Linked DNA regions of Drosophila melanogaster. The protein of the gene in region 1 interacts with the protein of each later gene in a biochemical or structural test. Each region holds a gene or a part of one and is shown in the gene's direction. Other genes may lie near its edges.

The links. The genes of interacting proteins can lie anywhere in the genome.
Region 2: the proteins of sc (region 1) and emc form a complex in vitro, tested with the Drosophila melanogaster proteins (one study listed by BioGRID).

The regions. Positions count from the first base shown.
Region 1 is NC_004354.4:392,547-400,307, forward strand, and holds sc (scute), read left to right. Parts: upstream 1-3,513; 5' UTR 3,514-3,630; coding exon 3,631-4,668; 3' UTR 4,669-4,951; downstream 4,952-7,761. UniProt on the Drosophila melanogaster protein: AS-C proteins are involved in the determination of the neuronal precursors in the peripheral nervous system and the central nervous system. Also involved in sex determination and dosage compensation.
Region 2 is NT_037436.4:745,032-752,792, forward strand, and holds the start of emc (extra macrochaetae), read left to right. Parts: upstream 1-4,368; 5' UTR 4,369-4,632; coding exon 4,633-5,196; intron 5,197-7,240; coding exon 7,241-7,276; 3' UTR 7,277-7,761. UniProt on the Drosophila melanogaster protein: Participates in sensory organ patterning by antagonizing the neurogenic activity of the Achaete-scute complex (AS-C). It lacks a basic DNA-binding domain but is able to form heterodimers with other HLH proteins, thereby inhibiting DNA binding.

The DNA.
Region 1 (7,761 bases):
TGATCATCCAGTTTGAGACCGCAAAAAGACGAGACTGAGAAACGTGGCAAAGTGAAATATGTATTTATTGGACACATGAACAAAATTCAATCCAATAATAATGGTTAATATAAAAAATAAAATAAAAACCACACTCTTCATAAATACTATTTTGAAGGATGATATAGTTAATTATTGCTCTCATATTTGAAAGTAAAATTTAAAAAAGGTTCGGTAAAGCAATTTCCTTATTATAAGGTAACAGCTGAAAAACTAGGCTTCTCTATACAAACGTTTTAGCCAAGTCAAACTTTTCATACCCCAATTGTTGGTCCAAGCAGGGAAGCCAAATCAAAATGGCCCACGATCCCAACATCTTTGTTTGCATGACGAACTGGAGCTGAACCTTTGGGTTGAGCAAAGTTCAATGCGCCGTTGCCGCGGTATCTGTATCTTAGCATCTTTACCCATATCGGTCTTCTGTATCTTTGGTAGTGACTTTAACTTCGGCTCCCCTATTTTGTGGCGTTAAGGCACCGAAAATGCCAGTCGGTGCAGAAAAAAGCAACCCCTAACAAATGAGCGTGTGTTCATTTTATTTGTGCCCTGTGCTGCGCACGGTTATTTTTCAGCTGCACCAGAAAAAGAATGGTGGAAATCGATGTATAAAGTTGGTTGTCTAAGCCCGTATGCCCTGCTACGTTTGTTCTTCTATACTTTTCAGAGTTCTTTCCTCCGCGATCCAATTCGTTCGACTAAATACACCTGCCACGCGTCGCCATGGTCCAGATATCCAACGAGTCTTAAGGGCAAGGAGGGTGCGACTCCTGCGCATGCTCCTGCATTTAATTAAATTATTAACTACGAAAATGACTGAGCTAAATAAAGAGGGAGAGATACATCTACGCTTCATCAACAGTAAAACGCAAAAATTAAACCACGAGCGTCACTTAGATTTATATTAAAACTTTTGATAATAAAAATGGTCAAAAACATTTACTTAAAATATAAATATTTAAATAACAGAAATTTCACTATATACTCTTGTAATGCACTTATAATAATTTTATATACAACCTATTAAATAATATTTTTACGTGTAGAAATGAACGCGACAACAGAAATATCTATATGCAAGTATACATATACTTGTATCCCTCACTCTTTTTCACTTTTTCTTTTTTCGCCGATCTCCTGCTCTCTTCTGCAGGTCCTGGCTACGAAAACTCGTTTAAATTAAGATTCAACATTCATTTTTGCATTTCAAGTTTCGTTGGAAAAACGCACGCGTCGCTCCACCGATTAGGATATATATATATATATATATATATACCCATATATACCCATATAATGGGTAGGTTATATATCCTGCCTCGTTCCATCCTGCTCCTACCCAATTATCGCAAGGGCCCCGCTCTTCATCTCGCTTACACTTTTGAGTCCTTTCCATTTCCCGTTTTCGCGGTCCGGAACTATGCTTCATATCAAAGTAATTACGCATTTAAATCCTCCAAGCGTTGCGTCTGGAAAAAGGATATAAACAAGGTAGTCCGAAAAAAATGTTTACTGGTTGTCGGGACAACATCGAAAGGTTACTTAACTTGCTTTCTGATGGTTTTCCTGAAGAACAAGTCTTTCGAAATAATAAAAAAAACATTATTAAGTTTCCGAAAATATATAAAAGACTTCCACAAAGATAGAGTTAAATTAACAATATTATATACTAAAGGAAATGAAGCATTTATGAAATATAAAATTTAAATCATTCAAAATTAAAAGATTCCTACACTAGGTACTATAATTTTGAAGGTAATATCCAATGCTTGTTCAAGGTATGAGTGGCATTTACATGCAAGCGGTGACCGGAATTGGACCTATGATTAATCAATTGTACCGAACACGCGATTATACCAACCTTGCTTATGACTCTCCGCTTCAAGGAAAAAAGGATCGCGTATATGCATTATATGCATTCCACTTCAGTTAAATGTCCGCATACACCATAGATCACACAGTTCACTGAGTGGAGTTTCTAATGACGACTTCAACCCTATTCTAGGCATGTCACCGGCATTTCTCCCAACCATTTATTAAAATGCTTCAATGGAATTTTGGAAAATGCGAAAATTTAAATAGAACATTGTGCTGCCAAAATTTCTGCAACACTCAAGAACAATGATAGTGTTAATGATGGTAAAATAATGGAAACCAACTACCGATCCCTCCGTTACAATGCAAAAACTAAAGAGTGGAGACTCCAAGCGAAGTTCAGCATGCAAAAAAGGTATTGGAAATGGTGAAAGGATTTTATTTATAGGAACAACACAGAGAAGCGCCGTTTGCTGGTCATGGTTGAAAAGGTTTTTTTGTTATCAGGATTTCGGTTTTCGCTTTGGTTTTGGTTTCGGATTCGGTTTTTGATTTTGGGATCCGGGGATCTAAAATTTGCCAAATAGAAGTGAAGAAGTGCTATTGCTGATGATTTGGCAAAAGAAAAATGCTGGCAGAAGCAAACGAGGGTAACGAGTTGAGGACAATAAAAATATTACACCTGGTCGCCGATTTGGCATCTTTTCACTCGCTCATCGATTGATGATCGTGACAAAATGAACCGATTTTTGTGAACAGAGCGGAAGTTACAATTTACAGTCGCCGTTTAGCACGACACAGTGGCCAATGGCAAGTTACAACAGTCTGAAATAATCAATTTATTATTTCAAAGAAGATGTATGAAACTTCATGTATGTCTAGTATTTCTTTACCTTAGACCGCATTATGTAATAGAACAAATAACAAGTATACACCGTTAAAAGTCAAATGTGTGAACATTTAATCAAACCCAGAACTAAATTATTCCCAAACAAATTAATATATTTAAAGCAACATCCCAGTAGTTCTAGAAAAAACACAAGTAGCCACAAACAAAGAACCGCAGTTTTCACTGCAAACTTCCTTCTAGAACTTGTGTCACATCCCTTTGATTTACTTAACAAAAAATTGTGATCCTTTTGATAATTTAATTGGAGAAATAAGTGAAATTGTTTGAACACCTTTAGGGAGCGTACTCCGAATGTCTAATAAGGAGGATCCCAGGATCTTCTGTCGATCCCTTGGATCCGTCCGGCGCTAATGAATAGAAGCGTGCGTGAGCTGCACATAAAATTGGCGATCGCGACTTTTGCTAAGTTAATTAACACAGAAATCAAATTGCTGGCGTGCCGTAGCAAAAAGAGCCCTCACTCAGATACCTTGATCGTTTTTCGATATTTCGAGTTGATATTTTGAGTTTAAAATTTGAGTGTTTCTTTTGGACTGTCGAGTGAGAACAGTTTTCCTGTGGGATACTCGAGTACCTGAGACAGAGAAAGAGAGAGAGACTACCTGTGGCTCACTCACTTCGAGTTCCCTACCTGTGCAGGTAGCTCTTGCCGTCACTCTCTCTCTCTCTTTCTCTCCGATTCTCTCGCCCGTTTCTCTGCCTGAGTGTTGTGCAGAGAGTTGCATAAAGGGTACATAACGCGAGGGTTTAGGACGAAGGGACTCATTCTTGTGTAAGGTGTCAAACGATCAAGTTCAAGTATTGTACTCTGTTCATTTATTTTTTTCTGTTGATCGTTATCCGGAAAGTTAAAGAAAGCTCCGAGTGTGTTAATGAAAAATAATAATAATACAACGAAAAGCACTACCATGTCATCGAGTGTGCTGTCCACCAACGAAACGTTTCCAACGACCATCAATTCGGCAACGAAGATCTTTCGTTATCAGCACATAATGCCAGCCCCTAGTCCATTAATTCCCGGTGGCAATCAAAATCAACCCGCTGGCACAATGCCAATTAAGACTCGCAAGTATACACCAAGGGGTATGGCACTGACCAGATGCTCTGAATCAGTATCATCTCTATCGCCTGGTTCCTCGCCGGCTCCATATAATGTAGACCAATCCCAGTCGGTCCAAAGGCGCAATGCTAGAGAACGAAATCGTGTAAAGCAGGTGAACAACAGCTTCGCCAGGTTGCGGCAACATATACCACAATCCATAATCACGGATTTGACAAAGGGTGGTGGTCGAGGACCTCACAAAAAGATCTCCAAAGTAGACACACTGCGCATTGCCGTCGAGTACATCCGGAGGCTTCAGGATCTGGTGGATGACCTAAATGGGGGCAGCAATATTGGTGCCAACAATGCAGTCACCCAGCTTCAACTTTGTTTGGATGAGTCCAGCAGTCACAGTTCGAGCAGCAGTACTTGCAGTTCCTCAGGGCATAATACCTACTATCAAAACACGATCTCTGTCAGTCCTCTGCAACAACAGCAGCAGCTACAGAGGCAGCAGTTCAATCACCAACCGCTGACAGCGCTCTCATTAAATACCAACTTGGTGGGCACATCCGTACCAGGTGGAGATGCAGGATGCGTATCCACCAGCAAAAACCAGCAAACCTGCCACTCGCCAACATCATCATTCAACTCCAGCATGTCCTTTGATTCAGGCACCTACGAAGGAGTTCCCCAACAAATATCCACCCACCTGGATCGTCTGGATCATCTGGACAACGAATTACACACGCACTCCCAACTTCAGCTAAAATTTGAACCGTACGAACATTTTCAATTAGACGAGGAGGACTGCACCCCCGACGACGAGGAGATTTTGGACTACATCTCTCTATGGCAGGAGCAGTGACTTAATCCCCAAAATTTACCACCACGCCCTATTTTCTTCTAGTCAATGTTGAGTTGAACCAAGTGCCTCAAATTGTAAATAACACTAATACAAAAACAACATACCCCCAATTTTTTTTTCTTACTTTAAGCTATTTTTTTACATTGTTAAGAACCACGAGACCAGTTTCAAATTTATATATTTATGAAATAACTATAGCATGGAAACGAAAACATATTTTTTTGCTAATACAATTTTATGTTAATTAGTTTTTGGTGGAAAAATAAAATGAAAAAATTAAACGAAAAATCATATTTAAGTTCTTTTCTCAAAGGGGATCCATCTATTGATCAGGTTTGTAAAACATTCGGGTACTACTTGCATTGCCTTGCAGTGCCGATGGGACCATGTGCAGCCGTTATGTACAATTAAGGTTGCTTTGCATTGGTTTTACAAAATCACTCTTATATCCAAAAATCATTAATACGAATTACAGATAACGCAAAACATAGATCAGTATTTGGTTTTAGACCAGTAGTTTCCTATTTCTTCAGGTAGTTTCTAAGAATGTCAAATTATCGCAGGTAAGACGATGACACCTGTGACACGTGCCACGAGGTTACTAGTTTAAAAGGTTACTAGTTTTACAATTACGACTTTGAAATTCAGATCAGATATTGAACTTAAAAAAGGAAAAGTGTCGAAAAAGCAATTTACAATTTATTCAATATAAGAGGAGTTCGTATTTATGTATACATTACTACTTAAATATATAAAGTGAGGTAGTTTTAACCCGATCAACACTTTTAAGACTTTTTCTTTTGAATTTGCTCAGCTTAACTATAGTTCCTAGTATTCCCTATAATGTACGGCCTTACAAAAAAGTATTTTACCCACTTTTTACACTTCTGAAAAAGTTAAATGCAAACACCTTACCCCAAACAATAACTAAGTTCTTCACTCCCACGCACCGTTGAGATGTCAGTCCGTTGGAATAAACCTCTTCCACTGGCCAGACAATAAATCACGTTGCATTAGAAAAACAAACGCATGGGAGAATGCGACTATAGACTATATTTTGACACATTAAAGGGCATCACAGACAAAGGACCTCATTGTCCTTAGGATCGCTGGATGCTCCAAAGGAAGTGATAAGGGATAGGGGATCTTTTCTTTCAATGTCAACGCTGACACTTGACAACTCAATGCAATTGTTTCGAATCATGAAAATGGGTTCTGGAATACCATTATTTTCTTTTGCGAGACTCTGTAGGCAAGGCTTAACGTTCAGCTCCGGAAGAACTTTCACCTTTCCTAAAGAATCTAAAGAAAGGCAACCTTTTTTTCAGCTGCGTTTTTTATTTTATTTGGTTCTGATTTAAAAGCGTAGTTTAATAGATTTCTCGGCGCCCAGGCCAGCAACATTGTGGTACAAAAAACCAGCCGCCTGCATTAATCAGACCCCAGATATTTGACCAAATTATAGGCTCGCCCAAAGTTTCGAGGACTAAGGACGGCAGATTGATGGCTAAAAAAGCAGTTTTAAGTCGCAGCTAAGCTCATAATTCAGCTCTTTACGAAGTTGTTACTTGAAGCATTTATTCTTACACCGCAGGCGCGATGCAAACGGCCTGATAGCCAACAGAAAAAACGAAGAATGGCAAACAAGAAAACTCCAAAATAAAAAATACAAAGATGGATTTTGGAATATAGAATATACTCTTATACTCTTTTCAAACATAGGTTTATTCGGTTAATATCCTGTAACTTATCTGAAGCATTAATCTAATCAATGCAAATGCTATATGTGGTCTAATGCATAAGTTTTATTTTTATTAAAACTCAATTATTTTGTACAATCAAATTGATACTTAAGTCCTTCATTTAGCATTGGCGATTGGCTTACATTATCCAAAAAGTAAGAGTATCAAACAGAGCAGAACAAGGCAATCAAAACAGCACAACTTTGCAACGTCGTTCAGCGTTACCGATTTATTTGAATTTCAATAAGCCCCAACGTTTTTGGAGTTCATTATCCTGTTATGTCGGCATTTTTGGCCTTTCATCTCGCGCATGCAACGAATTTGAACTGGGGCGTTATTGATTAGCGTTATGAATTATTGATAAACAACCCTCAGGGGAAAATCGCCCACACCGCAGGTAAAAAAAACACTATGCACATAAAACAATAAATTGAAATACAGAGTATATATAAAAATATTCATACTTAGCACATTTTTATATATTTTACTGTTGGCCCCATATAACCTAAAATTATCCGCCCAGATATGCTTGGGCTGATATCTTTATTTTTCGGAGAGGATGCATAAATCGCAAGCAAACGTGCCACGTTCATCATCTGGGGAGCCAAAAGGGGAGAAATATGTTCCAATTAGCGAAGCCAAATGTGACAGGCCATCCACCCAGAAGAAATCAAGGCAGCGACTCAGTTTCACAGGACTCGCGGCTCGGACAGGCAAAAGTTATTTGAGTTGTCATATTAGGCCGTGATAAATGTAGTTACATACCAAATGTGATAACTCTGCCCCTGGCTTTGGATTCCCCGGACCCTGGATTAGGTAGGCGCCTAGTTTCCCTTTCCCTTGATGATGATCCGCAAACTGTCAGAGGTTGTTCGTCTACAGCCTGATCATTGAAAACGTATTTATGGTACCAGGGAAATTCCTTCAGCCTTTTTGCGCCAGTTTAAAGAGCCGTGGCCCTGACTTTTTTCTTTGCTGACCTGGTATCCCGAAGAACCTAAAATTTCACCTGCCGGGTCAATAGGGGATTACCTGATCGTAAAAGAGGTACAATAAGCGCGCGCGTGCCTGGACAATTGGTAAATCGAGTCCAATTACTTATCACCCTACCCAATTTCTGTACCTTTAAGATTTTGCAGGTTTATTTGAAAAAATTCCAGAATTAATATAATAATTTTTACAACATTTGTTTGACCTGTTTCTTTTTCCTGAAGGCACTTAAAATTAAATATATCTTTTTATTGAATTTTAACAGTTTATTTGCTTTAAATAATGAAATTATTTACTTTTCTTACTTATTATTCTGTAACACTTCTCGGTTTACATGCCGAACAAAACCTATTTCCGCTTA
Region 2 (7,761 bases), on another chromosome or scaffold:
AATTTCCCCTTACCTCAGCTGCTCACAATTAACACGGGGAAAGTGAAAAAAGCCCGGTGTGCCGGAACGGTAAAATGCAGTTCAAATAAAGGCAGCCGTTGGGTTTTTGGTATAGGAGCGCAGTTATCCTGCAGATGCGATGCATTTGCTCAACTGCCCTCCAACTGCCGTTTTTCCAGTCAATTAGGGTAGCAAAAAATACAGCGCACATTTGCCTAACCATGTACGGGGATATATACAATATTTTCCGGATTCAAGGGAACGGAATATGTTGCAGCATATGTGGCGGCGTGCGGCGCAGTTGCTGTTGTCCTGCCGGCCGAGGGGCATTGTTAATCGTATCCTGCGTAATAGCATAATAATCCCTAATCGCATCTGATCAGTTCACCTGGTTGAAACACTATCCCTTTCTCTCTCTCGCTCAATTCCCCGTCCCTGTCCCGCACACTATCGAAACGCCGGCTGCACGATTCCCATTCGCATTACCACTTTGGCTTCCATCGATATGTCCTTTGTGCGCCTTTTGTCGCCGAGTGTCCTTTTTACCCTAACTACGGGGCTGGGGTTATTTTGACAGCAGTTCATTTGCCTTCTGCCGCCGTTTTCACTGCTGTTTCACTTTTGGCAAAAACACACAAAAAAAATTTATGAAATTATGCCCAATCCAAATTTACAAAATTCAACAAAAATACTTCTATGTGATATAAAAACTTATGAGCTCCATATATATTTCTTTTTGAAACTGTAAGAATTGCTTCGATATAAATTAGGAATTTATTTCAGTGCAGCTACTCAGCAGTTCGATTGGGGTTTAAGTTTGGTTTTCCTCTTGAAGCCATGTTTTAGTTTGTTTTATCCTCAATGAGTCGACTTCTATGTGGCTTCCATCGCAACTATTACTTAGCGCTCCTTTGATGAATATTTTTATGTATATTTTTCTGCTTCACTAGAATGCTTGACTTATAGTTATTGGTCCCATGATCTGCATACCCCTAACGCAAATCAATCGGCCCATTGCGAGTCTGAAATCCAGCTGAGCTCGGCAGTTATACCCATGCGTAAACAAAAAAAAAGGCATTTCTGTTTCAGTTCCCATTCCCACGCAATTGAGTTTATTGTTTCGCCCGGAGAAAAGGGAAAGGGGGCGACTGGAGCGAGTAAGTAAACAAAAGCTCAGCGATCATCGACGCCTCAATGGAACTTTTTTTGCTACGAAATTAGTATTCAGTTACCATACGGACAACAACAAGTTAAACAAACCTGAAAAAAAACATGGACACAGGCCGGATGCGGCTAAAGCAAAAAAAGTCCAAGCCAAGAAGCCTCGACTGCAAGTGGGATCTCTGATCTTGGATCACCAATTGCCAATCATCATCGCTGGCCATATGCAAAATATGTTTATAAATAAACGACACTGAAAGAAGTGGATGTTTACCCAAGTTTCTGCTCAAGATTTAGTTTTAACCGAAATGGTGAAGTGGAGAGCCTTAAATTTGTGAATGAACTTTATAGTAGTTATAACATTTTGTATTACAGCACTTATCACATGGGCACCACAAGATACCATTATATTTCGCAATTGCCACGGGAAGTGTAGAAATTTTTATCGGTGCAGCGAAACGAAATCGGTTCCGAATTCCAAGGCGAAGTCATTAATGGGATGTCACTGGAGAGTGACAGGGCAGAGCACCCCTTTAATGGCAACTAGATGTCCTCAGCCCAGCTGAGATTGGAATGGAATCAGTTCGGCTGGGACTGGGATTTCAATGGGGATCGGATCGGATCGGATGGGATCGCATTGGAGATTGGGGCTCGAGGAGCGGGACTGAGTGACGGGTATTGGATTTCAACATGCAATGCACGCGGCGCGGCATGCGGCTGCATATCTGCAACGCCATCTCTGGGATACGTCGGGATCCCCTTATCCCCTTATCCCCGATTTCCTATCCCAATATATTATATATATATGAAATACAAAAAAAAAAAGGCACCGCAAGTGCCCGCCCGCTGATTGACATGTGATCCTCATCTTCATCGCATCCTCCACAAGTTTCTATGGCTTGCAAATAGCGGCCCTCTTGCCTTCAGATTTAAATACACTTTGAATATTAAGTTTATACTTGTGGTATATATTGAATTAAATCGAAGATTCTCAGGAAGTGCATCTTAGATATAGGTAAACCAACTGCAATGCAAACGAACTACAATTTACCATCAGATGTAGGGTATTTAAATTGCGTATTTATAGATTTTCTACATTTTTTTCCAGGTTTCTGCTGCTTTTAACCTGTTGTTGGTTCTTCGGCGGCGCTGCTGATTTGTCATTCAGGCGAAACACTCGCGAGTCGTAAAGTAAGCTCCGTTTCAGTTCCAGTCTCCTGAAATCTGGCGAAGAAGACGTGAAATCATCTCGAGACGTCGTTGTTGCAGCAGTCATAAAATTATGATCGGTATTTTTTAGCCTTCCGTTCCCCTGGGAAATTTGAACTGTGTCGCTGGTTTTTGCCAGCATTTTTTAGTTATTTCGAGTCTAGTTTTTCGACATGGAACATGGATTTCTGCTGTATTTCATGCAACACCTTGTTCCCCGATTTCCAGGAACATATGTATGTATGATCTCGGGACATTCCTGAACTGCGTTTCCACGGAAACTTGCAAATAGACCGTAGTAATTAAAGGCACGAAAGCCGAAGAGCAATAAACACAAGCTTTTCGAGCCCAGTCATGTCTCCCATTCAGCCATAGCGAACCAATTCAAAACCATTTCTAACGCAGACGATAACCAGAGAGAGACGTGTCGTTTTTCACAAACAACGACGCGCCCGCTCATTTTCAATGAAAATTTCCACAATTTCCTCAATGGATCGTCGTCGACCCATCATGTGTGTGAAATACAATCGTGGATTTCTTGCCCAGAAACCCTGCAACTTCTTCGGTGCAATGGAGTGGGAGAGAAGTCGAGGCGCCTCGAACTCTTATGTGTGTTCAAGATGTCGTGGACTCAAATTAAGATAAGATGCAGATAAGCCGTGCATTTCGATTTAGCCGTTTGAAAACTCGTTAATAAGAATTTGGTCAATCCACTGATAACGACTAGTTTTCCATTGAACGGAGGCGCATAACGCTTATCTTTGTTAGGAATAAATATGACAAATTGAACGACTACCGTTTAATCGTTTGTCTATATACGAAAACTTAACAGGATTGTTCGAGCTATCAGTTTATTTGAATAGTTATTGTTAATGAAAACTACTACTAACTAGCCCAATATAATATATTATGAATATTTACTCTTCTTATTTTCAAATGATTTAAAATTTTCACCATTCCACAGCGATTAAAATCTAATTTACCCATGCATATATTTAATATTCATTCTGTAATTAATCAAGCCCTTGTTGAACCACTCGCATTGTCTTTTTCGCCTTTTCGTGTTGATTGTGGAACCTCCTTATCCCACAAAACACTTTTCATTCATTTTCATGCTCATTCACAAAACATGAGAAAAAAAAAAGAAAAACAAACATTGCAGTCGTGAGAGGAAAATTATTGAGCGAGAGTTACTGTTCGTGTTTTCTCATTTTCAGCTGAGAAAAGCAGCCGACCAATCACAAAACCATTTCCCCTTTACAAAAAACCGATCATTTTGCATCTCGTGGAGAGTATTCAGATTTGTTTGGAGAGTTTCGGAGAGGAACTCGTTAAGCCGGGTCTACAAAGGTGAGTATCTGTGGACCGTGGTGGAGTCAGGGGAAATGTTAGTGCTTTAAAAAGTGTCTACTATGTGTGGAATTTGGATTGTATCTTGTGGATTGGATATTGTGGTAAGGTTGAGTTTCATTTGGTATCTCGGGTAGAAGTCAATGAGGTGGATGTTCGGGCACACAGGCTGTAGAACTTGTTGGATATTTTGTCAAGAACTGAAAGTATCCGAAAGGATTAATTCATAGCATATATACCTCAGTTGTATTTTGAATTATTTTAAATTAGTTTTCTCAGAATTCATGGGCTTCACACTACACATCTTCCCCTCTTAAGATCTCAGGCTTAAATTCGTACTCCATTCTCATTGTGGATTTGAAATGATGACTGTGAAGACCAAACACGAAGGGCTACCCCTTAATTCCACATTCTTGTCCACCAAAGCAGACCTCTCCGCAACTCACCTCTTAGGAACTCTCCTAAATTCCGGTTTCAAGTTGTGGTCCAAGTTCCACATGGACACCAATGAGACACATTCCCCAGTCTCCACTCTCCAACCAAGTACATATCTCTCTCCAGCCGAACGAACCCGAGAGCGAAGACTCCGCCTATCGGATTCGGAAATGCCCGTTCGGGGGGTATAAAAGCGGGCGCTCTGAGCGAGCACCACTCATTCGTTGTCTGACCGCTCGCAGCAAAAGATATAGAAATCGAGAACGTAAACGCAGAAAACACGCTGGATTAAAGTGTTTCGTTTCGAACATCGACAGAGTGAGAAAACAAAGTGAAGTGAGCGCACAAAGCCGAAATCAAATCAAATTGAAAAGCCAGTCAAGAGCAATCTTTAACTGAACCTCGCAAGTAATCCGGTACGACCGTGTAACAACCGCCAAGATTCTACTCAAGGAGCGTAAAGCAATCATCTCCAGAATGAAGTCCCTGACGGCCGTCTGCCAGACAGGTGCCTCCGGAATGCCGGCCTTGAATGCCAGCGGGCGCATCCAGCGCCATCCCACGCACCGCGGCGACGGGGAGAACGCCGAGATGAAGATGTATCTGTCCAAACTGAAGGACCTCGTTCCGTTCATGCCCAAGAACAGGAAGCTCACCAAGCTGGAGATCATCCAGCACGTCATCGACTACATCTGCGACCTGCAGACCGAGCTGGAGACGCACCCCGAGATGGGCAACTTCGATGCGGCAGCCGCTCTGACGGCGGTGAACGGACTCCACGAGGACGAGGACAGCGACATGGAGGATGCGGATGCCGAGGCAGAAGCGGAAGTCGATCCAGATATCCTCGCCCAGCGCCTGAATGCCGAGCAGCCGGCGAAAGTCTCTAGTCCCGCCGCCCGTCTCCCGCTTACCGATCGCCAAACGCCCAACACTCTTGTGGCGCCCGCCCATCCGCAGCAGCATCAGCAGCAGCAGCAACTGCAACTGCAGCAGCAACAACTGCAATCACAGCAGCAACTGTCCAACAGTTTAGCAACGGTGAGTTAACAAACAAATTGCTAGGGTAGTGAAAAACCCAAATAGGAAGTGGGCAGATGAGCACAGCTCAGGTCGAAATATTAGGAGAAATAATAAGGTTATGGAATATTTAAAGTAGTTATTTTTGAGAAAATAACATAGTTAAACATTTAAAGTACATGACTTCACTGGTTTCAACTAGACAATAAAGCGATTAATTGCTAAAGTTACGATAAGGAAGTGCGAATATCGCAAAGTTTGCGATCCACCGATTTTCGCTATTTCCTTGAGTGCCATTATTTTGACCGCAGCTGTTTGGCATTTGCATTGCAAATTTAGGAGACAATTGAGTGTCAAACTGTTTGGCTTTACTTGTTTTTGTTTCGCGAGTGACCTCATTCATAAGGCGATTGACGAATGTTTGCGTGAATGTTGTTTTTTTTCATTTTGTTTTATTTTTTTTTAACGGAAGGACGAGGCGCGTTTCGTTTCGTTGGCGAGTTTTGGGAAATTTCTTTATTGGGCGGGTGGCTTTAGACAACGCGGCCTGCCCGATTTTGTCGTACCCTCTTCTTCGCCGCACAGATTCATTTCGTTTTTATAGACATTTCACAGACCGTCTCTGTGCGATTGTATGCGTTGCGGTTGTTGTCGCCATCGTTTCTTTCTTTTGTGTGTTGCCTATACGTAGCTGTTAATTTTTTCTCGCGGCCTTTTTCTGTTGTTGTGATGTTTTAAATGAACACCTGCAGATACTTAAATTTATTTCACACACACTCGCACACACACATACTCACTCACTCACACGCACTTGCGAGCTTGAAAACGGAATTTGGAATTGGGGAATCATCAGTCTTCGTATTTTATTTCATTTGGGTTTATTTTTTGGCTCACTTCATTAGCTCTCAGCTTCGTTACTTCTTCGTTTTTGGACTTTCGGTTATTAATGATGCTGGCGAAAAAATTCGTTTGAGATCTACAATATGTTCGTAAAAACAGGTTCGAAAAAGCTTTTTTTTCAATGGGTTTCTCAAACAAATGATCGACTGGGTGGCCCGGCAAGTGTTATTAATTTTCGATCTCTGATTGTTGATTAATTGTGAAGGTGGAAACCCTTCTTCGAAATTCAGAAAGATGGTTTTGAAATCGTGCCTTCGTCATTCCTGGCTATGAGTTACTTCTTAAATTTTTGATTAATTAACTGTGGGTCTTTAGCTCAGTCCGCTTTGCGTAGGTCTCTTTTCTCTCATTTTGGGTGCGTAATTTTTGTGTTTTTGTTGCAAAACATCTGCAACCCACAAACATATATACTTTTTGTGTTTGTATGATGTGTCACCGCCGCAACAACAACAACAAGCCAACAACAATCCGAGAATTCTTTCGAAAACACGCACACACACACACACAGAAGAACACATGGGGGCACTCAGAAAACTGTAAAAAGAAATGCACGTGTTCAAAATGTTCTCTCTGTGGGTTGTTTTCAGTTGTTTTTGCTGTTTCTTTTTCGATTTTTTTTTCGCGCAGCTGTGCGCCAGTCGCCAGTCGGTCGCTTTCTACATTGTGTTCCCCCCACGGATCCTGCCCCCCCCCCTCCACAACCGCCCCCTCGCAGTAAGAGAGCAGAAGACGGAGGAGAAGAGAGCGCAAGACACTGGGGGAAAAACTGCGTGATTTCAACGTTTTGCTGATTTTCAACTGGGTATACTTGTGCAAGCAAGCTACCTGAGATGTTATTTTAAAACATGTTGTATCTTCTAATGCACATGTTCTTAGTGCAAAACATTTTTCCCAGTGCCAAAGAACTCAAATAAGTGCAAAACAAAAGCTCAATGACAGCGCGTTTGATTTTCTTGGCGCCTCTTTATTGCCCCATCCCCTCCACTCATCGAAATCAGCCTCTCGGCGAGTGTCCCAAACACAAACAAAACAAACAAATCAGTGGAACAGGGAACTAATTGATAACATAGAATGGCGAAATAATACAGCTTATAAACTAATTATTGCATTTCAATCGCACATTAATAATGTACTAATTTGAATCTTCCCGCTTCTCTCTTTTTAGCCACAGAATGCGGAGAAAGACAGCAGACAGTCGTAAGCGTGGAAACGCCCAGCCGGGAAAACCCACGGAACCTATAAGCCTATTAACTAAATGCATAATGAAAGTACAGTCAAAACTCCACTCGCAACCTTCGTGTGAAGATCTCCGCATAAGATAACGTGTGAAACTCTCAAGAAAACCACAGCCCAGGCGCATCTCTTCAACGCTCCTTTTCCCGGGAAACGGAAAACCCGGGAAAACGAGACCTCGCTTTTGGCTCCAACAGAGTTTAGTTTAAACATTTAATAACAAGAATACAACAACACAAAACCTAGCATTAGAGCAGCGTAAGCAAGTACACATTATGATTATTAATTAAACATTACAACTAGGATGATGGCGCTTAAGAATGAACGGAAGAAAGAAAACTTGGCAAAGCTTTAAACAATTTAATTTTCCTTTAACGCTTGAAATTACACTGAAGCATATATTTTTGTTTTCCTAATTTTAGTTTTGTTTTGGTTTAAACAACGCAAGAAAAA